Xenopus tropicalis: one gene and its partner. The protein of the gene in region 1 purifies or fractionates together with the protein of each later gene. This does not show direct contact. Links are inferred from orthologs where the notes say so. Each region holds a gene or a part of one and is shown on either strand. Other genes may lie near its edges.

Region 1 (4,620 bases):
GGCAAATCAGAAATATAAACACACCGCCTGTTATTTCATCAAACATACATATTCTGTTTGGTTCCTATTCTCCTTACTCAAATGCAATGTTGTGTAACGCCCCAGCGCTGATAACTTCCAATCGGAGATTCAAGGCAAAATATTTGCCAGACTGGGAGATAGGCTCACAGTGTCCCTGTCCTTGTTGGCTGCACATGTCCCTCTTGTCTTCGGCTTTTGTTTTTTACTGAAACGTCAAATTTATATTGGCTTTATTGTGTGGCTGAGAGGCAGCTTGTAATATTCCCTTTACATACTCATCGGAGCCAATTGAATAAAATAGTATATAAAATACAGTCAGGAGTGAAATGTTCAGCCTTACGTGTGTATATATAGTGAATGCTGCACCCCCTATTGTAATATATATGGATATTATAAGTTACCAAAGAGTTTCATGACTATATGGAACTCCGAGTTTACTTATAATATTCTCATATTTTACAACAGGGGGTGCAGCATTTATTATAATACACAAGTTTCAATGAGTCATGACAGAAATTACATCACTCAGCATCGATAATAACTAATGATCACTAAGCACAGTTTATTAGGATATAGTTTACAGGATAGTCAGGGCTGTATTTAGGGCCTTTGCCACCCTAGGCACCGGACCTAAATACACCGTTTGGCGCATAAGTAACATCACATGCACCTACATCATTAAAGTGATGGGCAACCTGACCCCCTTACCCTCACTTATGGAAATCTGTGATGCCTGAGTGCATTTTTATATAGGTACCCGAAGGCCGCCCCCCAAAATCTGCCACCCTAGGCACAGGCACTTGGCTGCCCATATATAAATACATCAGTGGCTCTTGTGTATATTATAGAAATGAATGTATAATTCTTAATGATGTCATTAGTTATAATTGGTGCTCTGCCAAAAGCCTCCTTATGTAATTACATTTGAGAAATGTTGTATCTTTTTTGGTGCAGGAGCTCAAAGGGAAATGAAGGATTTTTCAGTAAGAATCCAGGACTGCAGGCTGAGAACAGGACAGTTGGGAGCTAACCCCAGGCTCAGCTGTCACCCTTTCTTTATGTCAACTCATTCTTGCTGCCATGTTTTCCCTTTACTCTAGAACTGTCATCATTCCTCAGCTCTCTCAGTCTTTATTCTCTTCCTCTGGGGGGGGGGGGGCTATACACTTTAGATATGCCCAGATATATATCCCCATAGGGTTTGGGAAGGATTTTGCCTTTACTCTTTTGCTTGTTTTTGAAAGTTAGACCTGGCAGCACAAACCCCACGTACACTTTGAGCCAACAACTGTAGGAACGATGGCAACGTGAATAATAACTACCCTGGCTCTGTTTCAGTTTTATACAGAAAAGGGGCACCCTCCACAAAGTGTTTAATTGCAGACGTCTAGTAAATATTGGTTTATTACAACTCTAGAGAGCCTGCCTGAGCCTGAACGGGCGGATAATGAAGTAATAAGGCTCTGTGAGGTACCAATCATGCACCGCAGCTCCCAGCCTTACTACTCCCGCTCCGGCCAATGGGAGCGGCGTATGTCAAGGTCACGTGTGAGAAGGGGCGCCCATGTAAGGCTCTGTCAGTCCTAGCCCCGCCCCCTCAGTGACGTGTAGCGGTACCTGCTCCAAGCAAGCCGGGGAGAGAGCCGGAGCTGTGAGTAATCTATTCCGGAGCGGAAGGCACTGTCACGGTTGAGAGAAAGGCTGTACCAAGTGCAGGAGGAGTTCGGTATTTTCCGAGAGCCCATCGTGACCCCCCCCACCGCGTCACATTTTCCGCTCCACAAAGGTAATGACAGCTGCTGTCCCGCCTTCTCTCGCTGCCTGCTCGCTACTCACTCACTGCTGTCGCTTCACAATGTGTATGAATGTACTTATAATGGCGACCCTGCGCCGCCCTGAGGCATGAAATGATAATAGTAATAATTATTGCCGGTACCAGCCGTGTTATGGGCACAAATATACCTCCCCACATGGCATGATGCAATAGCGCTGCCTCTTGGCTACTGGCTCCGCCCCTCCATGTGCCCCAGTCATGTGGGGTCTGCTACAGTTCTACGGGGGATGCTGGGACTGTGTGCCACAGCTAATGATATTTGTATATGATAAAAAAAAAATATATATATATATACGTATGTGTGTGTGTGTGTGTGAAACATTTGCTGTTACAGTGTATTGTATGGATACGCACAGGCTAAATGAGTAGGACTTATGCTGAAAATACATTTTGCCTGGTCTTTAATTTAAAAATATATATTTTTAGTTTTTTTTTTTTATAAGGCAGCAGTTATGATAGGGCTCCTTGGTGCCCTGTGGCCATAGGGGTGTTCCCTTACTTGCGTCAGTAATGGGGTGGGATGGGAGATACCTACATGGAGTCTCTTTGAATTATCTGCTCTTTTTAGCTCTACAATGAAACATATTTTTCATAATGAAAATAGAAATATGTTTAATTCAAACTCTGTTCATTAAAGGAATACTGCAATGGGAAAACATGATTTTTTTTTTCTGCAAAACTCATCAGTTAATAGAGCTTCTCCAGCAGAATCCTGCGTTGAAATCTGCTTTTCAAAACACAAACATATTTTTTATATTTAATTTTGAATTTTCACATGGGGCTAGCCATATTCTTCATTTCCCAGGGTGCCACAGCCATGTGACCTGTGCTCTTATTAACTTTAGTCTCACTTTACCGCTGCGCTGCAAGTTGGAATGATATGCCCCCCCTCCCAGCAGCCGATCAGCAGAACAATGGGAAGGGAGCAAGAAAGCAGTTCCCAGTAGGTATCAGAATAGCACTCAATAGTAAGAAATCCAAGTCCGGCTTGGGACTCCTCCAGTTACATGGGAGTAGGAGAAACAATAGGTTACCTGAAAGCAGGTCTAATGTGTAGCGCTGGCTCCTTCTGAAAGCTCAGACTCAGGCACAATGTACTGAGATGCGCCTACACACCAATATTACAGCTAAAAAAATACATTTGTTGGTTTAAGATTAAAATTTTAAATGGCAGAGTGAATTACTCACGACAGTATCCCTTAAAGCTCGTGTTGAACAAGGGGGTGTACGAGCACTTTATGGCATTAACATGGGACTTTCTATTGGCCCATTTCTGTTGCTTCCAGAATGGTTAGTTAATGGCTACTCATAAATATTTAATGACACTGCTGTGTAACGTGGGACACGTAGGGCAGGGATGGGCCAGGTCCCAGAATCCCATCACCAAGCTAAAGCACTATGGAAGGAGCAACTGGAGTTTTTTTTTGGGGGGGTAATGGGTGTAATTGCTAAATATGAAGGGCAGCAAGTTCTGCCTCTTTGCTGTAGGGGATATGGTGCTTACAGAGTAATGTGCCCTGACTGCCTGACATGAATGGTCCAATGGACACCCCCATCTTTCCTTCTGGGGGCCATAAAAATCCTTTTGAGGCCCACACTTTTCCTACAGCTGTTACTTGGCACTTGGACTGCCCTGGAATAGAGAATGTGACTACGTCCCTAGCTACTAGACCCAACCCACGAGATAGGGCAGCCTAAAAATTGCATTATGTGGGACTCATTACTAAAAAAATCTTCAAAAGAAAGAAAATAATCCCTTTTAGGTGATAAAATTCAGTGTCTTTAGGCCAGTTTGGTGTACTTTGTGTTTAGTAGCTGCTCACCAGCACTCTCCTTTCTGCTGTAGATTGCAAGCTCTGATGCACAAGCCCATCTATCACCTCTTACTTGTCGTGGCTACAAAAATAGACAAAGCTGATCATTTACTGATAATTGTCTCTACATGTGTTTTGGGAGAGGCAGTTCTTAGTACTGTCTATGGCAAGGTATTATCTGGCATTTGTAGCTGCTGCACCTAAGTAGCTCCTTGTGTCTTCACTTGACCTGTCTGGTGGACCTTTGGCTGATAAAATCTGGCCACTCCGTAAGTAGTAAAGTGCAACAATCTTCATTTATCTGAATTAATGGTTTTTTTCAGATTCTTTCTTGCCCACGTGAGATCTCCCTCAGGTGACAGAGCACTGCGTCTGACATTGCCCAAATAGATATTCCTAGTTTGACATTAGCCTACTGATAGCCATACAGGCATATAATTATCACAGATTTGGCCCACAGGCCAGTAATTGGATATTAATTGCCCCTATGTAGAGAACTGCATCAGTGGCCCTGTGTAGTTTGTGTTTAAATCAACCAGGTTGCCAGGCAGATGCCCGTTGGCACGCCCCTTATTTTTGCCCCGTACTCAAGCCAACAAGCAGGAGTGGTCTTACTCCATACTTGGCAACATGGGGAATCAAAGCAGCAATTAGGATGTGGGTGGTTTTTTAGCCTCATGGTTAAACCCCTGTTAGGTTTTATTGGGGGAGGTTTTATTTGTTCCCTGATTGGCTGTTCTACTAAAGGCTCTGTAAGTGAGTGTCCTCGATTGGTGATGCCCATGTCCTCCGCCCTTTAATAATATTCAGTGCCAGTGCCAGCGGGAAGTACGCAACCTGCTCTGTCAGTCAGTGAATGTGAGAAATCACAGGTGCCATGGCCAGGTTCAAGCAAGGACTCCTGGGAATCAATGTCCTGAGCTTACAGCTTGCTGTGTCCCACGCATGTAG
Region 2 (3,821 bases), on another chromosome or scaffold:
GGAGAGAGCTGAGTAGACTCTGGCCCCGGGAATGAAGAATCTTTCTAAAAGAGGAAGTCAGACACTCCAACAACATGTTTACAAAAAAGAAGACAAGGAATCCTGTGTTTCTTTTGATAGAGGACTCAACACAGCATTTCTATGAGTGCTTAGGGCTGTATTTACATAGACCTTTCTGATAAAGCTTACTTAGTTTTTACCTTCTCCTTTAAGGTAGCCATACAAAGGATGACCTGGACAATACTTCCATTGGACTGGGGTTAAAATAGCCTACCTTTGTATTATGTTGCATCCATTTGTGCAGACTACCTGAGCAGCAGGAAGTGAAGATGAGCTGCAGAGCTTAGGCTCAGGTCTGATAATCCTTGATCTGCGAGGATTTTGCAGGATATAATACATGCCCAGATGGTCAAACAGCATACTCAAAATTGTCCCAAACTGCCCATCTTTATCTGGGCTGGGTCCTCTTAAGAAGCATGTGTTGTTACTTGGCAATTAGGGTTTACCCCCTTTTTGTGAAAAAATACTAGCCTTCCTGTCTCTATCTGTGTTTCCTCCTTAATAATAATAACTGTATACAGAGTAAAAGTGAAAAGCTGTTTGTATTTACTCTACTGCACATGGGCATCCAGACCATAGAGAGAAAAGTTAGGAGGTTATAATCCCTGTGGGGTGCCTAACATTTTGGAGACCCCCAATGATTATGCCTTTTCTTCTCCATCGATGGGCAGTAGAACTGTATATGCAACATTGTTTGCCTTAGCTGGGGCAGCAGTCTACATAGACTTACATATTCATGACTGGTACCATTACTCGTCCATTTCAGGGGCTGTTCTATAGACCTATAAGCATAATGGTTCTCCCCAGTTAAATCAGTGGCAACTTTCACACTTCTGTAAATATTATTTTATTGTTCTTTCTAAATTGGGCATAGTAACTTGAAAATAGTTAATATTTAATTCAACCCAAAACTGCTATAATATCAGGCAAAGCTTACTCCTCCTTAAGACTGCTTGAGCACGCGCAGTTGCAGTTGATTTCCTGATTGCCCCAACTGCGCATGCTCAAGCAGAGTCCGTGTCGGCGGCGAGACCTGAAGCTTCTATGATTGAGCAGAAGATGGCGCCCAGGTATGCTGATACATTGCTCTGCTCTTTCAGGTCGGGGTTTGCGATAGGGGCAGTTTTCGGGCAAGTTACAGAGTATGTGAAAAGGGAGAGGTGAGGGTGGGGGTCGAGGCAGGCCAGTTAAGCTATAAGTTTTATAGCCTGGGGGTATAGGTATAGTTCTCCTTTAAGTATTAACAGATATTTTTTTTCAATATATTTTTATTTAGATTTTCAATTTCAGACAGAAAGAAAAAACTAAATAAAGTAGATGAACATATATACAATTGTAGTCTTTGGTTAGTTTACAAAACCGGTTTGATGGGATGTTATAGTCATATGCATATCTGGGTTAATTGCAAATTATAAAACATGTTTTTGTGTTACTGTTGCTTTGAATAGAACATAGTTTTGCAGACTAAACACTGTCCCCAAAAGGTGGCTTTCAGCACATATTACAGTGTGTGGCTCCAAAATCAAGGTGTTTTATTGTTGAGGGGTTTTACCATTTACATTCTGTTTAATAACCAGACAGAATAGTTGTGGCTCAGCTGGGTGCAATTTAGCAAACGTCATCTGACTTTTTAGTAACAAAAATGCTTTACAACAAAATGTAGCTAGCTGCCTAAAATAACTTCCAGGGTTTGTGCCAAGTGTTGGCAAATAAAGCTAATTAGCCACTTTTCCTGCACTGACTTATTCTTTGTCTCACTATTGTGTTGCTTAATGCAAAGCAGAACTTTAATTGAGCGCTATTCTGTCAGAAGCTTAATAAAGGTATATAGTCTTTAGAGCAAGAATAAATTCTCATAACACTGAGTTTAAAAACGCTTTATTGTAATGTAATGTTGTAACTTAATTATGCCAAGAAATATTGTCCCAAGTACCCTATTTAATTCAATTATAGTCTCTGTTTGGGATTATAACACAAACTGAACTGATTTAAAACTGATTAGAGTTTTCCTGCATTTACTTAAATGGAAACTAAATAAAAGGATATATTTTAAAAATTTGCTCTTTTAATTAAGTTTTTAAAAACTGCAAAAAAATGAAATTTCAATACTGAATATATATTTTTATTTCTGTCATGTTGAACAGTTTCCTTCAATTAGTGTGTTGTCAGTAAAGCTGGCTATACCGAGGCTGATAAAAGCTGTTGACTCAGACAATTTTAGTACCTTATTGGTCCATATAAAGGTGGCCATGCATGTAGCAGTAACGATATTTTGTGCCATCATCGGTCGCTGGAAAGATCGTTCCCACCCTCCATTGACGTTCAGGGCTGAATCGTCAGATATGGAGTTAGAAACAATAGAAATTCTACCTCCACCTGCCGAATCAGCCCTAAACGTAGATTTTTAACCTGGCCGTTCGTTGAGACAACCGATATCCGCAGCCTTTGCGATATTGGTGGTCTTGTCAAGCCGCCATACACGCAAGGAATATCTGACGTAACAAGGTTTTTGTACGATAATATCGGTGTGTGTATGCCCTACCAATACTGGCCAAGACAAGGACCACATTGATGCCAACAGATCTCCATGGGCCCACAGTATGATCCAGTAGTTGGCCCGGGCCAGCAATCAGATCATCCTGATTTGGTCCATCACATATATAACCAGTTCAGACAAAGATGTTGCCAAACAAAGTGTATGGGCAGCTTTAAAATGGTACAAAATCAAGGGCACTACTGCCATAGGCGGGTTGAGAAGCCTCAGGCGGCAGCGCCTAGCGAGGTCCCAGGGGTGGCAAAAAGCTGCTCCTGGTAACTTAATGAGCCAAAATTGCCTGTACCAGGCAACCATAAGAATTTATTAAGGTTCATCTTTTATTTCTCTGCTTACATTTCAGAAAGGGCAATAGCACGTCATGAGGTACGAGAAATAGAGCAGCGGCATTCCATGGATGGCACCCGGCAGGAAATTGTGCTTGATGATGATGAAGATATTTTAATAATTTATAACAGAGTTCCAAAGACTGCCAGCACTTCCTTCACAAATATTGCCTACGACCTGTGTGCAAAAAATAAATACCATGTACTTCACATAAACACAACCAAAAATAATCCAGTCATGTCTCTTCAAGATCAGGTAAGATGAATATCAAATTCCATAGCCTAATGTTGTTGGTGGTCAGTTTTAGGCTGATGGCACACAAGGTAATTTCTCCTTTCTGTTGGTGCCTGTAACTCCTCCTGTTGACTTTAATGGAAACCGCCTGTAAGTGCTGGTACAGGCATACAAAGTCAATGGCTAACAGCGTGGGTGGTTTGGGCAGTTCACCATTTGTTGAGACATTAGCCAAGTCCTTACCTTTTTTCAGTGAAGGGTTTTCATTGTTTCTATTGCACGCATTCAAATGCTGGATTACTGACCTTTCCGTTGTGTTCTTGCAGTATCTAACAATCCAGCAACCCAATGAACACTTCCAGCAAGGGCAACACAAAATAGCAGAAGCCAGTGTGCTGCTATGTGCCTTTGCATAATCTTTTTCCAGTCTCCTGAAGTAATGCTAACAAACCATCTATCTACAGTAATCCTTTTGCAGCTCACTCCCCACAGATCTCAGGCACATATTTCTTACATCAGCAATTTATAAAATACCAGTTTAAGTCAAAATATAGCTAATGTACATATTGATCTTGTGGGAAATGGCATTTTAAAGTTCATAAATATGTATTTAAAATGTTCATGCCATTGCAGAACTGAAGCTATT

What was found.
Region 2: the proteins of slc7a1 (region 1) and hs2st1 purify together in Homo sapiens (co-immunoprecipitation; 3 studies listed by BioGRID and IntAct, counting the BioPlex papers as one, with this or other methods). This does not show direct contact. The link is inferred for Xenopus tropicalis from reciprocal best matches to the Homo sapiens genes SLC7A1 and HS2ST1.

Annotation. Positions count from the first base shown.
Region 1 is NC_030678.2:154,474,628-154,479,247, forward strand, and holds the start of slc7a1 (high affinity cationic amino acid transporter 1), read left to right. Parts: upstream 1-1,600; 5' UTR 1,601-1,807; intron 1,808-4,620. UniProt on the Homo sapiens protein: High-affinity, low capacity permease involved in the transport of the cationic amino acids (arginine, lysine and ornithine) in non-hepatic tissues.
Region 2 is NC_030680.2:106,512,465-106,516,285, reverse strand, and holds part of hs2st1 (heparan sulfate 2-O-sulfotransferase 1), read left to right. Parts: intron 1-2,957; coding exon 2,958-3,196; intron 3,197-3,821. UniProt on the Homo sapiens protein: Catalyzes the transfer of a sulfo group from 3'-phospho-5'-adenylyl sulfate (PAPS) to the 2-OH position of iduronic acid (IdoA) or glucuronic acid (GlcA) within the heparan sulfate (HS) chain and participates in HS biosynthesis.